Schizosaccharomyces pombe: one gene and its partners. The gene in region 1 interacts genetically with each later gene. Each region holds a gene or a part of one and is shown in the gene's direction. Other genes may lie near its edges.

What was found. A genetic interaction does not mean that the proteins touch.
Region 2: of phx1 (region 1) and sod1, extra expression of one rescues a mutant of the other (dosage rescue), as found in Schizosaccharomyces pombe (one study listed by BioGRID).
Region 3: of phx1 (region 1) and pdc201, changing one suppresses a phenotype caused by changing the other (phenotypic suppression), as found in Schizosaccharomyces pombe (one study listed by BioGRID).

Annotation. Positions count from the first base shown.
Region 1 is NC_003424.3:2,449,502-2,459,749, reverse strand, and holds phx1 (DNA-binding transcription factor, stationary phase-specific Phx1), read left to right. Parts: upstream 1-3,231; 5' UTR 3,232-4,202; coding exon 4,203-7,031; 3' UTR 7,032-7,957; downstream 7,958-10,248. Other genes in the region: trp2 (tryptophan synthase), read left to right, coding at 1-2,092; SPOM_SPAC32A11.02C (uncharacterized protein), read left to right, coding at 9,247-10,248. UniProt on the Schizosaccharomyces pombe protein: Trnascription factor that regulates the expression of the homocitrate synthase (HCS) lys4.
Region 2 is NC_003424.3:1,000,698-1,005,593, reverse strand, and holds sod1 (superoxide dismutase Sod1), read left to right. Parts: upstream 1-1,993; 5' UTR 1,994-2,130; coding exon 2,131-2,595; 3' UTR 2,596-2,756; downstream 2,757-4,896. Other genes in the region: cell septum surface endo-1,3-beta-glucanase Eng1, read right to left, coding at 3,591-4,896. UniProt on the Schizosaccharomyces pombe protein: Destroys radicals which are normally produced within the cells and which are toxic to biological systems.
Region 3 is NC_003424.3:3,158,203-3,164,385, forward strand, and holds pdc201 (pyruvate decarboxylase), read left to right. Parts: upstream 1-1,608; 5' UTR 1,609-2,027; coding exon 2,028-3,740; 3' UTR 3,741-4,043; downstream 4,044-6,183. Other genes in the region: ppt2 (holo-[acyl-carrier-protein] synthase new8), read right to left, coding at 4,117-4,241, 4,321-4,409, 4,468-4,652; exosome 3'-5' phosphorolytic exoribonuclease Rrp41, read left to right, coding at 5,019-5,021, 5,070-5,109, 5,221-5,906.

The DNA of each region.
Region 1 (10,248 bases):
GACAGAGCAGATTAAAAAAACGTTTCTCAAAGCAAAAGAAGAAAACAAAAATGTTTTAGTGACATTTGTCACTTGCGGTTTTCCTAATGTTGATGAAACTATCAAAATTATGCAAGGTTTGCAAAATGGAGGAGCAGGAATAATTGAGCTTGGTATTCCTTTTTCTGATGCCGTCGCTGATGGTCCTACAATTTGCAAGGGAAACGAAATTGCTTTGAAGAATAATATTACTTTAGAAAAAGTATTTGAAACTGTAAAGCTCGCTCGTGATGCAGGTGTAACTATCCCTATAATTTTGATGGGTTACTACAATCCTATTTTCAGTTATGGAGATGCCAAAACTATTCAAAAGGCAAAGGAGGTTGGCGCTAATGGTTTCATCATCGTTGACCTTCCTCCAGAGGAGGCTGTCGGCTTTAGAGAAGAATGTAAAAAGCAAGGTGTTAGTTTCGTTCCTCTTGTTGCTCCTTCTACTACGGACAGGCGTATGGAGCTCTTGGCCTCTGTGGCTGACTCCTTTATTTACGTTGTTTCTCGTATGGGTAGTACAGGATCATCTGCTACCGGAGTAATCAATACTGCTTTGCCTCAGCTCTGTCAGCGTGTTCGTAAATTTGCTGGAGATACCCCTCTAGCAGTTGGTTTTGGTGTTAACACCAGTGAACATTTCCACCAAGTTGGCAGCGTGTCAGATGGTGTTGTAGTTGGAAGCAAAATTATCGATTTGATTTTGAAGGCAGAGCCTGGCACTGCTGCTACCGTGGTTGAGGAATATTGTAAATATCTTACTAAAGAAGACCCATCCGCACCTGTACCTAAACAGTTTCAATCCGGTGGTTCTGTTGCTACTGCCCCCCCTGCTGCTGTGGTCGAACCTATCAACGAAATGTATCTTCCTCAAAAATATGGCATGTTTGGTGGTATGTATGTTCCAGAAGCATTAACCCAGTGCTTAGTTGAACTTGAAAGTGTATTTTATAAGGCTTTGCATGATGAAAAGTTTTGGGAAGAATTTCGTTCTTATTATGAGTATATGGGTCGTCCAAGTGCCCTCGATTATGCTAAGCGTTTAACTGAGTATTGTGGTGGTGCCCATATTTGGTTGAAGCGTGAAGACTTGAATCATGGTGGTTCACACAAAATTAACAACTGTATTGGGCAAATTCTTCTTGCCAAACGTTTAGGAAAAAACCGTATCATTGCTGAAACTGGTGCTGGTCAGCATGGAGTTGCTACTGCTATCTGTGCCGCTAAATTTGGTATGAAATGTACTATCTACATGGGTGCAGAAGATTGTCGTCGTCAAGCACTCAACGTTTTTCGCATCCGTCTTTTGGGAGCTGAAGTCGTTCCGGTTACTTCAGGTACACAGACCCTTCGTGATGCTGTTAACGAAGCTTTGAAGGCGTGGGTCGAACAAATAGACACCACTCATTATTTAATTGGATCTGCAATTGGCCCTCATCCATTCCCTACCATTGTTAAAACTTTCCAAAGTGTCATTGGCGAGGAAACGAAAGCGCAAATGCAAGAGAAGCGTAAAAAACTTCCTGATGCAGTTGTTGCTTGTGTTGGTGGTGGATCCAATTCGATTGGAATGTTTTCTCCCTTCAAAGCCGATAAAAGTGTAATGATGTTGGGTTGTGAAGCTGGTGGTGATGGTGTAGATACCCCCAAACATAGTGCTACATTGACTATGGGAAAAGTTGGTGTATTTCATGGAGTTCGAACATATGTTCTGCAACGCGAAGATGGACAAATTCAAGATACTCACTCTATATCTGCTGGATTGGATTATCCAGGTGTGGGACCCGAATTATCTGAACTTAAATATACCAATCGCGCAGAGTTTATCGCTGTCACTGATGCTCAATGTTTAGAAGGATTCCGCGCTCTATGTCATCTTGAAGGTATCATTCCCGCTTTGGAATCTTCTCATGCTGTGTATGGTGGAATGGAGCTTGCTAAAAAGTTACCTAAAGATAAGGATATTGTGATCACCATTTCAGGTCGTGGTGACAAGGATGTTCAAAGCGTAGCTGAACAACTTCCTATTTTAGGTCCTAAAATTGGATGGGACCTTCGCTTTTAAGCAATGTTCTACTCACGATTTTCTGATTTATATTAAGGCTCCGTAAACTTAAGCGGAGTTGCGATCTATAGATATACAAGCATCGCATGCGATTAAACTTTTTTATACCAAAACATATGTGTATTTCTTTTTATCTATAAATATCATTTCAATTTTGCTTCTACTATTTACTAGCCTTAAATAGCGTTGTAGTCATGTAATAACCTGTACATAATACTGTACTTATTTACCTAATAAAGGTTTTCTGTGGATTTAATTTCTTAGGCTAATTTTTCAAAGGCTTAAGAGAATTATGTGTATGCTGAAGAAGAACATTCAACAAAGCGGTTTTCTTTAGTCTATGATTTTGAGAATCATGTCCTATTTACACTACAATGCAAGTGCAAAAAATGTTTTAAAACAATTTATCAGCACGAGCAAGATGTCGTAGTATTTTCAATTTATATGGTTTTGGCTTTTTAGAGTCGCGACATAGTCTATTAACATAAGCTTTAATCTTTGGTATATTAGCAAATCTTCCAGATTGAAGTTAGCAGTTTATGGAGAGAAAATAAAATTCTTTCTGTATATTCGCCTAATAAGACCACTCAAGTCTTTAGCACTGAATAATAAAAAGTGTCACAAATCTTTGAACTATGGTAAAACTCCCAATTACAATTACTTAAGTTCGCACTCCTAAAACAGCATTACCCGTAGAATAAATTGAAAAAAAAGTATAAAATCAAACAAGTGGTACAGATCAAATTTTTAAAAATTTAGTAATGTTTCTATGTTTTTATATTACAATATTCAGATAGGTAGTATTCTCGCTTACAGTTTAGACAGTAAATGTAACATTAGTGTTTCTCCACAATTCCCCACATAGTTAATAGTAAAGTTGAGGACAAAATTATGATTTATCTATATATTCTATGAATTACATATGACCCTAGATGTACCCATTCGACAAAAGTATCCTTCAAATAATAGGTCTTAAAAACAAAGACTTGCTCATTAGAAGCAATCGATCGTTCATTCACTTTACTAAAGGATTTACCAATATGTATTGGGGGCGTCGTTTCTAAGGCAAGGTAGTACGTTAGAGTTCGTAATATAATTGTTCGGTTAGTTAAGTGAAGAGCGATATGTGAATTAAAACCACCACATCAACCATATAAAAACTACATTATTTATGAAACCATAAGCATTCTGTTTAATTCATTAAATTAGGACAGAAATTAATTAGGCTCTTGCAAGGATCAAATTGGAGTGAAATTGCATCTCTTTACGATATTTCAAGTTGTGTTTTATTGCATTAGATTTAGAGGAGCAATCAGCAACGATCTATTAGCAGTGAACGTTAACGAATATCTCAATTACATTCGGATCTTTAATTATTTGGTTTATTTATTTTTTTAATAACAAAAAAGGGAAAGAAAAATTGGGGAAAGAGAAGGGAATAATTATATTGTTAATTTTGCAATATTTTTTATCATTTAATTAGCAAACTTTTATTATTTAATTTTTAGGCAAATTTGACAACTCATCTCTTCATTTAGTCAATTTTTATTTGTTTTGACATTTGTGAGATATCCAGGGATCGATAGCCTCTGTCTACAAAGGGTCGTGTCTCTTAGTTTTCGTCAATCAGTTTCTTTCAAGATCTAGAAGGCGTACTAATTATTTCTACTTGGAGACTTTAAAGCTTGGGTATTGCTTGTCCACTGTGCTTATGTATCTGAACATAGCTACAATCTCTGCTACAAAAGCTAAAGAGAGAAGTCCCCTCCAAGAAGGGATCAAATTTATTTCGTTAGGGTTTTCTTCTGGTCAAACTTTTTTTTGGATAGGATAAGTTTTTAATTACAATAAATTCAGCGGCTGGGGTTTCATAAGTGCCCCATATTTCGAGGGTACCAGGTTCACGTTTTTTGCGTCTCCTCAAGTACTCAGAGATTCCACGGAATTTCTTTCAATTTAATTTTTTTTACATCATTTTATTTCTCTGAGCTTTCTTTAATTAATCTTCCAAAGTCACCATTCAATTTGCATTTCTTGGCATACTTTTTGAAGCAAATTTTTATTTCTCATAAGGATTTTATTTTCATTTCATTTTATTTCTAAGAACAATATGCGTAGTTATTCGAACCCAGAAAATGGTGGTCAAATTAATGACAATATTAATTATTCTGAGAAGCGACCTACAATGCTCCCGGAGAATTTGTCCTTGAGCAACTATGACATGGATTCTTTTCTCGGTCAGTTTCCATCTGATAATAACATGCAATTACCCCATTCAACGTATGAGCAGCATCTTCAAGGGGAACAGCAAAATCCTACCAATCCTAATTATTTTCCTCCTGAATTTGACGAAAACAAAGTAGATTGGAAACAGGAGAAACCCAAACCGGATGCACCGAGTTTTGCAGATAATAATTCATTTGATAATGTGAATAGTTCGAAATTGACGAATCCATCGCCAGTTCAACCTAATATTGTTAAATCTGAGTCGGAACCTGCTAATTCAAAGCAAAATGAAGTTGTTGAAGCTACATCTGTTGAGAAAGCTAAGGAGAATGTCGCTCACGAAAGTGGTACTCCTGAGAGCGGCGGATCTACTTCTGCGCCAAAGAGCAAAAAACAGCGCCTTACTGCAGATCAACTTGCTTATTTGCTTCGGGAATTCTCCAAAGATACTAATCCACCTCCAGCTATAAGGGAAAAAATTGGACGCGAGTTGAATATTCCGGAACGTAGCGTAACTATTTGGTTTCAAAACAGAAGAGCAAAATCAAAGCTCATTTCAAGACGTCAAGAAGAAGAAAGACAAAGGATCCTTCGTGAGCAGAGAGAATTGGATTCCTTAAATCAAAAAGTTTCACAAGCATTTGCGCACGAAGTATTGTCTACTTCACCTACCAGTCCCTACGTTGGGGGAATAGCAGCTAATAGGCAGTATGCGAACACGTTATTGCCTAAACCAACTAGAAAAACAGGAAACTTTTATATGAAAAGTGGACCTATGCAATCTTCCATGGAGCCATGCATAGCAGAGTCAGACATTCCGATCCGTCAGTCTCTTTCTAGTACATACTACAATAGTCTAAGTCCAAATGCCGTTCCTGTCTCAAGTCAAAGGAAATACTCTGCCTCTTCTTATTCCGCAATCCCAAATGCTATGTCGGTATCAAATCAAGCTTTCGACGTAGAATCTCCACCCTCTTCGTATGCTACTCCACTTACAGGCATCCGTATGCCTCAACCAGAGTCAGATCTTTACTCCTATCCTAGAGAAGTGAGCCCTAGTTCTGGGGGTTACAGAATGTTCGGTCATTCCAAGCCTTCATCATACAAAGCATCAGGGCCTGTTCGTCCTCCTAATATGGCAACAGGGCACATGCGTACTTCTTCAGAACCGACCTCATATGATTCGGAATTTTACTACTTTTCTTGTACATTACTAGTAATTGGTTTATGGAAAAGACTACGAGCCTCTCCTCAGGATTTAATGTGTTTCTACTCTCCGCCAAAGAAATTATTTGCATATTTGATTCAATTCCAGGGGATTCAGTATCGTATTGAATATTCTTTTTTTGTCATTGAGTCGATACACGTTTTTAGAGTAGAGGAGCCCTTGTTAAATGAGTTGAGTGCAACTGCGTCTAGTCGAGATAAACCGGCACCAAATGAATATTGGCTTCAAATGGATATTCAGCTGAGTGTTCCACCAGTATTTCACATGATCACTTCCGAAGGACAGGGAAATTGTACGGATTTTACTGAGGGTAATCAGGCTTCGGAAGTTTTATTACATTCTTTGATGGGAAGAGCTACTAGCATGTTTCAAATGCTCGATCGGGTTCGAAGGGCATCGCCAGAGTTGGGGTCTGTAATCCGCCTTCAAAAAGGTCTTAATCCTCACCAATTTTTGGACCCTCAATGGGCTAATCAACTTCCTAGACAACCTGATAGCTCTGTATTTGATCATCAAGGAAGAAACCCTCCTATCCAGGGATTGTCTCATGACACTTCTTCTGAATATGGCAATAAAAGCCAGTTTAAAAGGCTTCGTAGCACTTCAACCCCTGCTAGACAGGATTTGGCTCAGCATCTTTTACCTCCGAAAACTAATACTGAAGGGCTTATGCATGCTCAATCTGTGTCTCCTATTACTCAAGCAATGAAATCTGCTAATGTTTTGGAAGGAAGTTCTACAAGACTAAACTCTTATGAGCCTTCAGTTTCATCTGCTTATCCGCACCATAATTTAGCGCTTAATCTTGATAACACGCAGTTTGGTGAGCTTGGCACATCTAATATATCATATCCTTTATCGGCACCATCCGATGTCGGCTCACTTCCTCGAGCATCCAATTCACCAAGCCGACCTGTGATGCATCCAAATACACAAGGTATTAACACGGAAATAAAAGACATGGCAGCGCAGTTTCCCAATTCACAAACTGGTGGTCTCACTCCAAATTCATGGTCAATGAACACAAACGTATCCGTCCCATTTACGACTCAAAACAGAGAATTTGGCGGCATTGGCTCTTCTTCAATTTCCACCACGATGAATGCACCAAGTCAACAGTTATCTCAGGTACCATTTGGAGATGTCTCCCTTGCTACTGAGAACTCTGTCCCGTCGTATGGATTTGAAGTACCATCTGAAGAGTCTGTTTACGCGCAAGCCCGTACAAATTCATCTGTTTCTGCTGGGGTTGCTCCTCGGTTATTCATTCAAACACCGTCTATACCTTTAGCATCATCTGCTGGACAGGATAGTAATTTAATTGAGAAAAGTAGTAGCGGTGGTGTGTATGCGTCGCAACCCGGAGCTTCGGGCTACTTATCTCATGACCAAAGTGGTAGTCCATTTGAGGATGTTTACTCTCCTTCTGCTGGTATAGATTTTCAGAAACTTCGTGGTCAACAATTTTCTCCGGACATGCAGTAAATTTTGTGATATGATGATTAACGGTACAATTGAAACTCGCTTGAAGCTTGCTTATTTTCGTTTTCTTTTGATAACGAGAAGATGTTTAACTCTTGAAAATTACATGCCTCGTTTGTATTTTTATGACCGCTTACGTTTTTATAAATTCATCAATATCTCTAAAAGGTTTAAAGGATTAATTTTTGATCTATATTATACAAGGTATTCTTGAATAATGTTTAATTTGGTGATAAAAATACAATTCCATGGAAAAAAATTGTGCTTCCATGTATTATTGTCTGGGAAGAACTTTGATGCGAAAAAAAAAATAAAAGACCTCTACAAGGCACTTCATATACGATTATGTATGGTTTATGTTTTTTTTACTTCTTTAATTTTATTTTATTTTATGTTCCAAAGCGATAGGAGGTATTACATATTGTTGTATCGTGTATGCAATACTTAATGATCCTAGCATTTCATTTGAAGAAACTCCGTCAATGATCGAATCCAAATTCCACTGAAAAAATGTAATGGAGTTTGAACAGTATCGTACCCACGAGCGTGAGTTGGATTATTGAGTTTTTGCATGTTTAGCCGACACATATTTTTTTGGCGACTTTAAACTTTTTTATTTACCATTTATTTCTCTTTTTAAGTTATGAATAATTTCTTTTTCCTCATGTATATTATTACTTTATTTTCATGTTTTTTTTTTTATTAATTTGACATTTAGGACGATTATTATTTTCGTTATTTCTCCTTTCCAGCGGGAACGTTTCAGCATCACAGTTTTTGCACATAAACTATAATAATTTTGAAAGCATTATGAGTTAATTTAGTAGAATTAGATTCTTTGAAACATAATCCATCAACGAAGCTGTCCGCCTTTTTTTTAAGAGGTGCATGCCATATATAGTCATTTTCTGTGTAAATAAACATTTCACTAGTAGATAATTTTTTGAGATGAGCAAAGAATTGAATGAACCAAAGTAATAATTGTTAAGATATAATATTAGAAAATTTATTTTAAAGATGTATATTAGAATGTATTTAGACTAAGCTCGTAATATATATTTTTTTCATTTTCTTAAAATTTATTTTGTTTTATTATAAGAATGAATTTATGTTTCATGAATGGAGAATATCAATAAAAAAATTGTTTGGAGGTGACAAATATATAAGATTTGCTTTTAATATCTATAAAATAATTTTTATCAGTTAGTACAAAAGTATAGGACAAAAATATGAACAATGATTTCGGGCGCCTACTTTGAAGGTGATGTTGTTTTTTGCTGATGCCTATAAGCTGAAGCTAAAGCAGCACACACCAGATTAGATAGATGATTGATTATACTGAAACACTCTAAGATACGGAAATTCTCCGAACAATAAGAAAGCCAAAAAAGAGAAAAAGAAGTGAAAGAAACGCCTTCCATATATCGATTGAACATTGCGACCAATCGATCAACTAACAAGAACAAGTAAGCCAGCCCAGCCCTTCTTCTTCCACTGTTTACCGAATAATGAAGAACAATATGTAGCAAGCCAGTAAATAGCGATACTTACTGCAATATATAACCACATCACATATTTAGCGCATGACGTAGTTTACTTCTTCAAACTACACTATAGTTTTGGACATGAAACGGTTGAACGTCAATATAGTGTCTTAATGACGAGAATGCACGTATTCTTGAACCTGTCATTACTAGAGTAGCCATTCTCATATGAGCCATTCTTTTATGAACAGGAGAGTGGATTGACACTAATACTTCGTAAGTAAAGATGATTATGCAAGTTTTCATGACGCCACAGCCTAATTCGAGTATGGCTGAGATAGTCATAACGTAAAGGCTTTAAATAAATGTATTTAATGTCGCCATGGTCCTATAAAGTTATAATCTTTGTACAGAATTGAAATAAAGTTGCGACAAGGAATTTTAGGAAAATAAAGCGAAACCATATATCTCTTTACTTAAGGAGGATTCCATCAAAGCGACATTTGATTATTTGTTTGATTGATCGCACTTGTGTGTCTGTCTATCCCATAACAAGAGGTTTTTACTGTAAAATCCTGATTTTGGAGTGCTGAAGAGGAAAGGATATCTTCAGTCTTGTTTATTTATCACTTTTACACTTGTAACCATCTGATATTAGCTGACGTGTCTCGCTTGTTACTATCATTAAGTGATTAATTGCTGCTAATCTTTTTCGCATTAGTCGTTGAGCAAGTATGGCGGTTGCTTATCCCACTGACAAGCATGTTGTGCATGAGGAAACTGGAAAAGGATTAGAAGTTTATTCAATATGGACAGCTATTTCGAACGGCAAGATGCCCTCGAACAAACAGCTTCGAGGGCTCGGTTCGTCGCTGACGGACGGTGCGAAATCCGTTGCCAAAGAGAGGCAAAAGAAAATCTCTGATCCGGCTCGGAAATTTTTTAGTGACTTTTCCAAGCTTATTGATAATAGCTTTAATGTATTTGCGAAAAAGAACGAAGGAGATTTGCTCCAAAACGCAATTTATGAATTATCGCAAGCTGAAGGCTCTACAAATGTTAATGAGGTTTGGAATGATATCACCGAAGATATGCAAAGTCAAGATTTCAGTACCGAGGACCTGAAGCAGTTGTTCTTGCTCATCTTTAACAATGGTAAACTGCGAACGCTTTTGCAAAACGCCATTGTACTTTTGGGCCAGCAAACAACGAATGTTGCCAGTAAAAAATTGAACGAGCAGGATGGAAAAAAATCGGATAACCTTCGCAATGGAGTGAACAAAGTTAAGCAAAACATGAGAAATGGAGCTTCCGCACGCGACCAAGCTCGCGAACAAGGAAGCAAGGCCAAAGATAAGATTAAAAATGATCCTGATGCGCAAAAGGCTAAAGAGGAAACCAAACAAAAACTTCAAGATCTTTACGAAGAGTTTAAATCTGTCGCTGTGGATTTGCAGGGAGATCCAAAATATCAGCATCCTGTTCGCAGTCTTTTGAATCTAATTGACAAGTTCATCGATAAACTCAGTGAACAGAGTGGAAATGTTACTGCTGACACTAACGAACATTACGATCGTGCTATGCAATATTTGAAGCAACTCGTGGAAAACATTTTAAATCGATCTCTTGATAATTTGATTGACACCTTAAAACAAGTACAGCATGATGCTGAGAATGATGAAGAACTAAAAGACTGGTTAGAATCTACCCGCCAGTTTGTTCGCAAGGTGCTTTTG
Region 2 (4,896 bases), 1.4 Mb from region 1:
AAAGTTCATCTTGCCTTACAGTTTCACAATTGTCCCCCAAGTCGACAATTTATAGAATCAGAAAGAAATACTTTGCTTCAAAAAAAATCGATAAATTATTAATCTGGGTGTATAGTATTTCATTTGTTTACTTTCAATAACAACATATTTAAGGCTCTGTAGCTATGCTTGATTGTACAGCAGTGAATCACATCAAGGTTTTTCCATACACTAACAGAAAATTCTTGACTACCTCTCCAAAGTCAAGTTGTACAAATCATGAGCATAAATCGCACACATTCTACTCATCAATCCCATTGCCAAGAGTTAAAGTATTTTGAGGATATGCGTTATTAAGTGTATCGTGTAAGCTACGCAGTTTGGTATCTGATTTAAGGATACGAAGAACTGCGGTGAGTTTTCCTTGTGGTCTATTATATTACAATACACAGGTTGTATAAGTAGCAACTGAGTATAGGTATTGTATTAACTGGGCTATAATGTTACCTATCACTAATATAGCTCATAACTGAACTGAGGAACGAGGTTCAGTTGTAACGCTATTTATAATATTTCTAAATAGTTGTTATCAACGGGTATCTATGTATATAGACGGATAGTTACCCGTGATTATCAATAAACGGATCTTAGCTAGTATTCCAACATATGACATATAGTGATACGCAACGTAGTGTATCATAGCGTAGTGTAGTATTGCTGACATATCGTAATGTACCCAATTACGGTAGAATGATTAAGAGAATTGTATTTAGGAATATACCGCCTTTAGTATTATGCGAAACGCTATTTTTTGTAATGAGCCATTTCTTTCGCGCACTAGCAAAATAGTCTCATATTGCTACTTCACGAATAGCAAAAATAAGTCATATAAAATAAGTAGCTCAAGGTAATTACTGTTTTCGGCATAATACTTTATACATCTTGGCAAATTTCTTATATAAACAGCGTCCCCCTCAGAGAACTTTTTCTGTTTTCTACCAAAATAATATGTAGGTAGATCGATGGATAGAAGCGATTAACGTATTTGCAAAACAGATCATCAGGATTTTTTTTAACTCCAAAATAACCATAGTGTCACTCGCTTCCTAGTACAAAGCATTACTATGGTTATGTTATTTTATTTTTTAAAAGCTCAATGATATTATCAGCAGTTGTACTTGCGATTCTTTCTCAAAAATGCATACTGAGAGGTTTGTTCATTATGGGAAAATTATGAGTTCACGAATATTTCTTTCTAGAGCGAATTTTATTATCCTCCTCACGTCGATTGAAGCTTCATAACAATTTGACTGTTACAAGCGATTGCTCCTAACAACTTCCGTGAACGAACGGGCTTTGCAAGTCTACCGACCGGCCTTAGGCTCTTCACACCTAGACTCAAAACGCTAATCTATATACATGTAGGACTTTTATTCTGCGAACTCTAGTGGGATTTACTGAACCAAATGGGGGTTTGATATTTTAGCTAGTCTATGCATTTGAATCTCTATGCAATGTTTGTCTACTCAAGTTTCCCTTTCTTTGAAGATCTTTACCCCCATTAGCGACCTTACTTCAACGTGGTCATTCTTACCTTACGCTAAATGTTTTAACGTCTACGAAAACGAGAACGACGATTGCTATTACCGCAACTTTAGATATCGTTATTTATTCTTCGAGTGGCGCGTTATCATCTTTAGCGGAATTTCAATTCCGCGAAGGAGCACGTAATATGATTACGAATACTGGTGGAGTAAGCCAACGCCAAGCTGAGGTGATGCTCGGCGTAGCTTATTGGCCTATTTTGGAGGCTCGAAGGCACGGACTAGACAATGCTTTGTAAAGCAAATTTGTTAAATCGATAAGTATAAAGACAATTTCTTCGTTTTTAGAATATAAAAAAACATTGGTCATATCGAAAAATTGATTTGAGTTGATATCGTTAAAATTTCATGTATATTCCGCGTGGAGCTATTTACTATATAAGCGATGACACGCCGCCCTATCCTCTTCCAATTCCAAACAAAATTTTCGAAATCTCCAACTTTGAAGTGTGGTTAAAATCTTATTGATTTTCCTTCAAAACACTTAATTACTCAAAACACCCCTTCTCTTGTTGTATTTTTTTAAAGTAAATTATCGTCATACAAAATGGTTAGAGCTGTAGCAGTTCTTCGTGGTGACTCTAAGGTCAGTGGTGTCGTTACTTTTGAACAAGTCGATCAAAACTCTCAAGTTTCTGTGATTGTGGATCTCGTTGGCAATGACGCTAATGCCAAGCGTGGTTTCCATATTCACCAATTCGGTGATAATACCAACGGTTGTACCTCTGCTGGTCCTCACTTTAACCCAGAGGGTAAGACTCACGGTGACCGTACCGCCGCTGTTCGTCACGTTGGTGATCTTGGTAACTTGGAAAGCGATGCTCAGGGCAACATCAAGACTACTTTCTCTGATTCTGTTATCTCATTGTTTGGTGCCAACAGCATCATTGGCCGTACCATTGTCATTCATGCCGGTGAGGATGATCTTGGTAAGGGTACTAGTGAAGAGTCTTTGAAGACTGGTAACGCTGGTGCACGTAACGCTTGTGGTGTCATTGGTATTGCCGTCTAAATTTATTGAGTTTTTACGTCTTTTTGTTCAAATGGCTGTGGGTTTAGGTGTTGGTTAGTATTGTTATCATTTAGTTGAGTGATCTCAAATTTCTTTTTTTTTATGAAAAGTTCCGTATATTATGCTTCTATAGGTTCTGTATTAAAAAACTTAATTTAATTGATGATGATAAGTACTGTAGCTTTGTGGAAGCTGTTTGTTACTATTATGTTATATGTGTAAAAAAATGTAGTGATGTATTTTTGTCCTTAAGACTCTGCGTTCGAGTTTACATAAAATTCAGTTAATTAGAAGGAATTGTTGTAACTTTGTTTCGGTATTGATAATGAAGAAGCAAAAGCAGCAACAATTTTTGATCTTTTAGTCAGAAAACTTTGTTTTGCATCGTTGAGTTCGTGCATAAAGATGATAGAAAGTGCTTTTCGTATTGTTTAAAAAAAGATATATAGAATGTTGATTAATAGATACACACATAGTAGCAATATCAACACATCTTGTTAAAATTCTAATGGGTGAAGCCTTTTTTTTTATTAATCATAATACCATCGTTTCATCTTTGTTGATTTTGTTATTACTTTTACGTATCAATGAATTTTTACGAACTAATTTCAACTAAACAATAACGACAGGCAAGTTTGTGTAAACTGAAAACATCTGCACAAGTTGTATTTTAAAATAAATTTTATTCTATAAGTCTAAAGGTTCACATCCAGTGTGAACAATTAATAAAATAAGTGGTTAAATAATAACCAACTAATTCAAAAAGATGCAAAAAAGAAAAACTCAGCAAGAATAATTTTAATAAATTGATCTCTAAGCCGGCCTAGACGATATCCAAAAAGGGTTTCAAGTTGAGAGTAGTTCACGTTCCAGACGTGTATTATGAACAAAATGTAGTTTTTTAAATAGTTTGAAAACATACAAGCAATAAGTATAGTACATCTGAAGAAATCCAAAAAAGCACCTCGCAATACAATTCCGGACTTTGGTCATGCTTAAGCAGCAACAAGTGCACCATTGGAGCAACCGTATATAGAGGAGTCATAGCACGCATTACCACAAGCTAACAATGGAGACCCATTTATAATGGGACACAGTATATTGCCATAACAAATATAACTTTGTGAATCATACCAAGCTGATCCACATTGGGCTATCACATTAGTGGATGTAGCAGATGTAGTAGTAGGTGTAGGTGTAGTAGTTGTGGTAGGTGTAGGTGTGAAAGTTGTAGTAGCTTTTGTTGTTGTAACAGTGTTTGGAGACAAAGAACCATCAGAACAAACATATTGGGAAGGATTATAGCATGCACCATTACAACTCAAGTAATCCACTCCGTCTATTATAGGACATAACTGATCATTGTCACAATAATAAGAGGATGCGTCGTAGTAGTTAGAGCCACATAGTTGCATGCCAGTTGACTGTGCGGTAGTAGTTGTTGAAGTTGTAGTAGGTGTGGGTGTTATTGAGGAAGTAGTTGTGGGAGTAGGCGTAATGGAGGAAGTGGTCGATGAAGATTGAACAGGGCCCAAAGCTCCATTGTCGCAGCCATATTGCGAAGGGTTATAGCAAGCTCCGTTGCAGTTTTGATATGATACACCATTAACAATAGGGCAGAGTACAGTTCCGTCGCATACATACAAACTTGCATCAAACGTAGCACCATTACAAGTACCAGAGATGCTTGTAGTAGTAGGAGTCGAAGTATAGGATATAGGTAGTGTACAACTGGCAGTTGCAGTAGTAGAGGTTGTCGTAACACTTCCGGTACTCGTAGAGGTCGTGGTGGTAGAAGAAGAGCTAACAGGATAATAAACGGCATCATTAGCCCATAAGCCAGCGGCATAAGCCAAATACCAGGCACGAGAGGCCCCGTCATCTAAGTAATCGGTATTAAAATCAGAACTGGAGAAATATTCATAACTTTCTTCAGGTTCAGCAATAGCTAGATTAGCATATAAAAGACTTCTCCAACCGCTATCTACATAGTCAATGACACTAGCAAGTAAGGCATTCCATTCAGCTAGTACAAAGCTAGGACCACGGATAAAAGCTGAAATTGGAGTGATAGGCAACATATGAATTCCTTGGATGTACTCAATATTAGTACCAAAATAGGTAGTGTGAGTAATTTTGTTCATGAATGTAATACCGGCAACATAATTAGGTTGCATAGAAGTGGGCTGGACGTTTCCATCAGCATACAGCATGTACTTATTCAAAGCATTTCTTTCAATGCCCAAAATAATGTTTGCGCGATCCTCCATATCAGAATCGCCAATTACTTGACCCCAAAGT
Region 3 (6,183 bases), 710 kb from region 1:
GAATTACTAATAATTGTGAAAAAGGAAGAAGGATTTATGGTGTTGTAATAAAGATTTATGATAATGAAATTGTGTTTCTACTCTTAGTATTCATTATTTTAAATTTAGTTTATATGGTTATTCATTTTCAAATTATGGGTATCAATTTTATTTTTATTTTTTTTCATTTTTATTTGATTTTTTTTCATTTATTTACCACTCTATATCGCTCAAAATTGAATATCTGCCAAGTTTTGGACCTATGCGGCATTCTTTCTACGAACCATTCAATTCTTCATACCTAACCCACTATTCATTTCTAACCCATTCTGTCTAAATAAACACAATGATAAAGATTAAACTCTTTCTAATCAAATTGTTGCAAATTCATTCTCAAATCGCTAAACACCAAACATATAAGGGAATAGCGTTCTTTCCACAACCCCCTAACCAAGTTTAACGAAAATCATTAAACACCATCCACTTTGCTATCTTTTGGCGATCCCTCACAAATACACACACTATCTTCTTAGCTGACGATCCTCATGCCGATCCTTGTGTGCGCTACTACTGGTCAAAACGCAACAACCATATCGTAAAAATTGTACATCATTAGTTATTAGTAATTGTTTTGGAATACGAATAATTAATTCTCCAACTCTATTCTTAAAACAACGAATTACACTGTACCGCCTTACATCGAAATTCAGAGGGTAGAACAGGGCAAAGCAAAGCAAGGCAGAGTAAAGCACAGTAGAGAGACAAAGGAGAAAGAGGAAAAATAGCATGAGGAAACACTTTCGCCCGACGTTCAACAGCCTCAATCATGCCTTTTCGTGCCACAAAACAAGGGGAAAGACATTCGTTCATGCCTTGCATAATTCACTAAAATCAATGGCTCTGTAATATGAGCAAACCATGTAGTATCAATGCTTCTCGTCATAGCAGCCCAAATCATCAAAGCAACCATACAACATTAATGATTGTGTATTTCACTCGCTGCGACCACACACACACACACACACACACACACGCACATTCATATTATTACAACACATTCATTTACTCACAATATCCATATACTCACAATACACACACACAAACACTTCCATTCCTTCACACAAACATTACAATACTACGTTGTTTACTCTCCATCCCTCCTCCCCTCCCGTAATAAACAAACAGCGACTGACCGCTTGCCCATCCATCCAAGCCCATCGCCACGTAAGCGACATTCGCAATCCCTTCCATCTTAATTGTCATTTACTTACGTATCAGGGAAGCGCATGACAACAAAGTCTAAAGGCTTTGTATGCACTCTTCTTACCCGAGAGTGGAGAGGTTCGCACATTGAATTTAGTAATTGGTCGGATACTTGTCATTGTTGTCCGAATATGTTTTTGTAGCCTGAACTTTAATGCAAGCTAATTTAATCAAAGTGCAATGGTATTCTTGCATGGAAATAGGAAGCTGATCAAGTAAGCCGAAGTTTTGCCTCTGTGATTTTACTTGACCAAATCGGTTGTGCGTATTGATACACCGATCAAAGATGAATCATGCTGCAAAGTCAATGCTGTAGGCCTTGTCACACAGATTATAAAAGGAGAGGCGGTTGCTGTCATTTCATTCGTCTTTAAAACAATTTTTCACGTTTCATACATATTTTTATTATTCTTTTTAGTTAAGAAAGAAACAAACTTAAAACCTCTCTCTCATCTATATCAAAGGAATTAATTCATCTTACTGTGCTCTGTATATTTCCTTTGTTTATCACATACTATACTATACTATACTATACTATACTATACTATACTTTTTTTTTTTTTTTTTTAATAAACCCAAATTTGTTTGTTTGACTTGCTTTTGAGATCCTTGTATCATTCCTCCTCTTTCTTTGTTGAGCTTTTTCATTTCCTTTGACCAATCTTTTCTCTTCTTTTCACCTCTATTCTCTTCTCTTCTCCTTCTCTTTTTCATTCTATCCTTTTGCTCTTCTTACTTGCTTGCTTGTCTTGTTTAAGTAGCGTGTTTTGTTGTACTCCTGTATCATGTCTTCCGAAAAAGTCCTCGTTGGTGAATACCTTTTCACCCGTTTGCTGCAATTGGGCATCAAATCCATCCTCGGTGTACCCGGCGACTTTAACTTGGCTTTGCTCGATTTGATTGAGAAAGTGGGCGACGAAACGTTTCGCTGGGTCGGTAATGAAAACGAGCTAAACGGTGCTTATGCCGCTGATGCTTATGCTCGTGTTAAGGGCATTTCTGCCATCGTCACCACTTTTGGCGTCGGTGAACTTTCCGCACTCAACGGTTTCGCCGGCGCATACTCTGAACGTATTCCTGTCGTTCACATTGTCGGTGTTCCCAACACCAAGGCTCAAGCCACTCGTCCCCTTCTTCATCACACACTGGGAAATGGTGACTTTAAAGTCTTCCAGCGTATGTCCTCCGAGTTGTCTGCCGATGTCGCCTTCCTGGATAGCGGTGACTCTGCCGGTCGTCTCATCGACAACCTGTTGGAAACGTGCGTTCGCACTTCAAGACCCGTTTATCTGGCCGTTCCTTCGGACGCCGGCTACTTCTACACGGATGCTTCTCCCTTGAAGACTCCATTGGTTTTCCCTGTTCCCGAAAACAACAAGGAGATTGAGCACGAGGTGGTTTCTGAGATTCTCGAATTGATCGAAAAATCCAAGAACCCTTCTATCCTCGTTGACGCTTGTGTTTCCCGCTTCCACATTCAACAGGAAACCCAAGACTTTATTGATGCGACCCATTTCCCCACTTACGTTACTCCCATGGGTAAGACTGCGATCAATGAGTCATCCCCCTACTTTGATGGCGTCTACATTGGCTCCTTGACCGAGCCTTCCATCAAAGAACGTGCCGAATCTACTGACTTGCTTCTCATCATCGGTGGTCTTCGCTCCGATTTCAACTCGGGCACCTTTACTTATGCTACCCCTGCATCTCAAACCATCGAATTTCATTCCGACTACACCAAAATTCGTTCTGGCGTTTACGAGGGCATTTCGATGAAACATTTGTTGCCCAAGCTCACCGCTGCCATTGACAAAAAGTCCGTTCAGGCAAAGGCCCGTCCTGTTCACTTTGAGCCACCAAAGGCTGTTGCTGCTGAGGGTTACGCCGAAGGAACCATTACCCACAAATGGTTCTGGCCTACGTTTGCCTCTTTTCTTCGTGAGTCCGATGTAGTGACTACCGAGACAGGTACCTCCAACTTTGGTATTTTGGATTGCATTTTCCCCAAAGGCTGCCAAAATCTCTCACAGGTATTATGGGGCTCAATTGGTTGGTCGGTTGGCGCTATGTTTGGTGCTACGTTGGGCATCAAGGATTCCGATGCTCCTCACCGTCGTTCCATATTGATTGTTGGTGACGGTTCCCTTCATTTAACTGTTCAGGAAATTTCTGCTACCATCCGTAACGGTCTCACCCCTATCATATTTGTAATTAACAATAAGGGATATACAATTGAACGTCTCATTCACGGTCTTCACGCTGTTTACAACGACATCAACACTGAATGGGACTATCAAAACCTTCTTAAAGGCTATGGTGCCAAAAATTCTCGCTCCTATAACATTCATTCAGAAAAGGAGCTCCTCGATCTCTTTAAAGATGAGGAATTTGGAAAAGCTGATGTAATTCAGCTCGTTGAAGTTCATATGCCTGTCTTGGATGCTCCTCGTGTTTTGATTGAGCAAGCCAAACTTACCGCTTCTCTTAACAAGCAGTAAAAAATATGGCTATGGCTATATTATTATGATATGTTTTTGATTTTGAAATTTACAATATTTCTCAAATGATGCTTTTGTTAGGTTAGTTAATTTGCAACAGTCGTTTTTTTTTTCTACGTCAATCCATATTTCTTTCATAAAATGAATGAATATATTGAAGTTTATGCAGCGGTTGTTTTTTTGTTGGTAATTAGGATTCATTGAATGATTTATTTTTTTTTTCTTTTTGCATCCCCTTACTCCAAGGTAGACTTGTCCAGATAATTCCCTGTTAGTATAAACTCAATAACATAAAAAAAGGTCATTGAGACGACTGGTAATGAGTAGCAGCAATAGAATCACTAAATAATATAGTACCTTCAATTTGGTCTCTCGTCTATGTCTTTGGCATAGATGGTAGATACAAAGCATTCGCTACAACCAAATCTTCCTCATGGCTTACAGATACCATTACGGGAGAAAGCGGAAATCGGGGATCATGAATAACAACGGAAGGGTAGCCTATATTAATCATAACAAAGTCAGTAACTTTACAAACCTTTTATTTTTAAACATTGAACATGGAAAACAAATGACACACCTGTGGGAGTTCGAACATACTCCATCATAGACATGTAAACTCGAAAATTCGGTTGTAAAGCTTTGAAAACAGCTTCTTTGACGCACCATCTACATAGGAAAATAACCGTTAAAACTATGAAACGATCATAAATATAGACAAGCATACCTAACAGCAAGCCATTTAGCCTGTTCGCTTAAACGAGGCAGCGAGGAATTGCTTTTAATCAGGTTGTACTTTTTAATTTCATTTTCACACAGACATTTTTTTAAAAAGTTCTTTTCCCATTCAGGAGAGCGTTGAATTAATCTTGAGATTCTTGAAATTTTTAAAATGTCAATCCCTAAACCCATTTCGATTTTTGATTCTTTATAACATGAACAGGAAATATTAATGGTAATGCAAGAAGAAAAAAAGAAATCTATGGCTTCAATAATTTTGAACGCTTAATTAATAATATATTGTAAACTAAATTTCCGACACACTAAACGAGATATAAAAATCTTTATCCTTAAATAAAATGAAATAAATTTATCTAATTCATTATCGATTAGTGCCCCCAAAGACATCAAATCCAATTCGTTTCGTAGCGAATGCAGTAGCAGGAGTTTTTACTGTAACAAGTGTACTCTCTACTCACTCCCAGTTACAAAAGTGTTCAAAGGGAACCAAAAATTATATATTTGTAATCCTTTCAATCACGAAAAAAAAAATTTCATATGGTAAGAGATAGAATTTATCTCTAGATAATACGAGTACTAACCATATAGTCACACTTTGAGATTTTATCCCTTGAAGGTCTTCGAAATGGTAAGCCAATTCATTTATGGGAAATGAAAAAGAAACTTAAAATTTACATTCAAACATCTATGATTCTTATAAAATGTATTAATCTTTCTGTGTGCTAATATTTGTTGCAAGATGGTCGACGGTGGGATGAGATGAGAAACTTTCAGTGTCGTATTGGAATCGAGCCTTCGGAGAATGGGTCGGCGTTTATTGAATTGGGTAACACAAAGGTCTTGTGTATAGTCGATGGACCCTCGGAGCCTGTAATAAAGTCCAAAGCTAGAGCTGACAGAACATTTGTGAATGTCGAAATAAACATTGCTTCTTTCAGCACAATAGATGTGAAAAAGAGATTTAAATCGGATAGGAGAATTCAATTGCAATGTTTAGCTTTACAAAATACATTTGAGGAGATAATTCAAACAGAATTATATCCCAGAAGTCAAATTTCTGTCTACTTGCATGTTTTACAAGATGATGGTGCAGTAATGGCATCTTGTATCAACGCTACTACTCTTGCCTTAATAGATGCTGGTATACCAGTTAAAGATTTCGTTTGCTGTAGTACAGCTGGGATTGTTGAGTCTGATATGCTGTTGGATTTAAACTCACTAGAGGAGTCAGCTCTTTCATGGTTGACGGTTGCTGTTTTGGGGAACATAAAAAAGGTCGTATATATGCAGCTGGAAACTAGTATGCATTTGGATTATTTGGAGTCAGTAATGAATATGGCGATCGCTGGATCAGAACATATTTATAACACGATGCAAAGTGCGGTTCGACAAAGCGCTAAACCGGCACTTGCAAGTCTCAGCTAATGACAAAATTTTGGGGAAAAAAACTATTAAAAATAAATGAACGGGAAGATTAATTTTTATAATTATACATTGATAAGTCATCACAATTGCAACTTTACTTAGCTCTACGATATTCTGACAAAACGTATACAGCTTTACTCATTTTATTCCTAGTACAACGTTTTTGTCCTTATCCTTGGTATTTCTGTATAAGTATCAAAAAAATCACCTCGAATATCGTATATAATCTTTTAATGATTGCGTCCCTTTTTTGTCTAAAGGGGCTTATATTACAAAA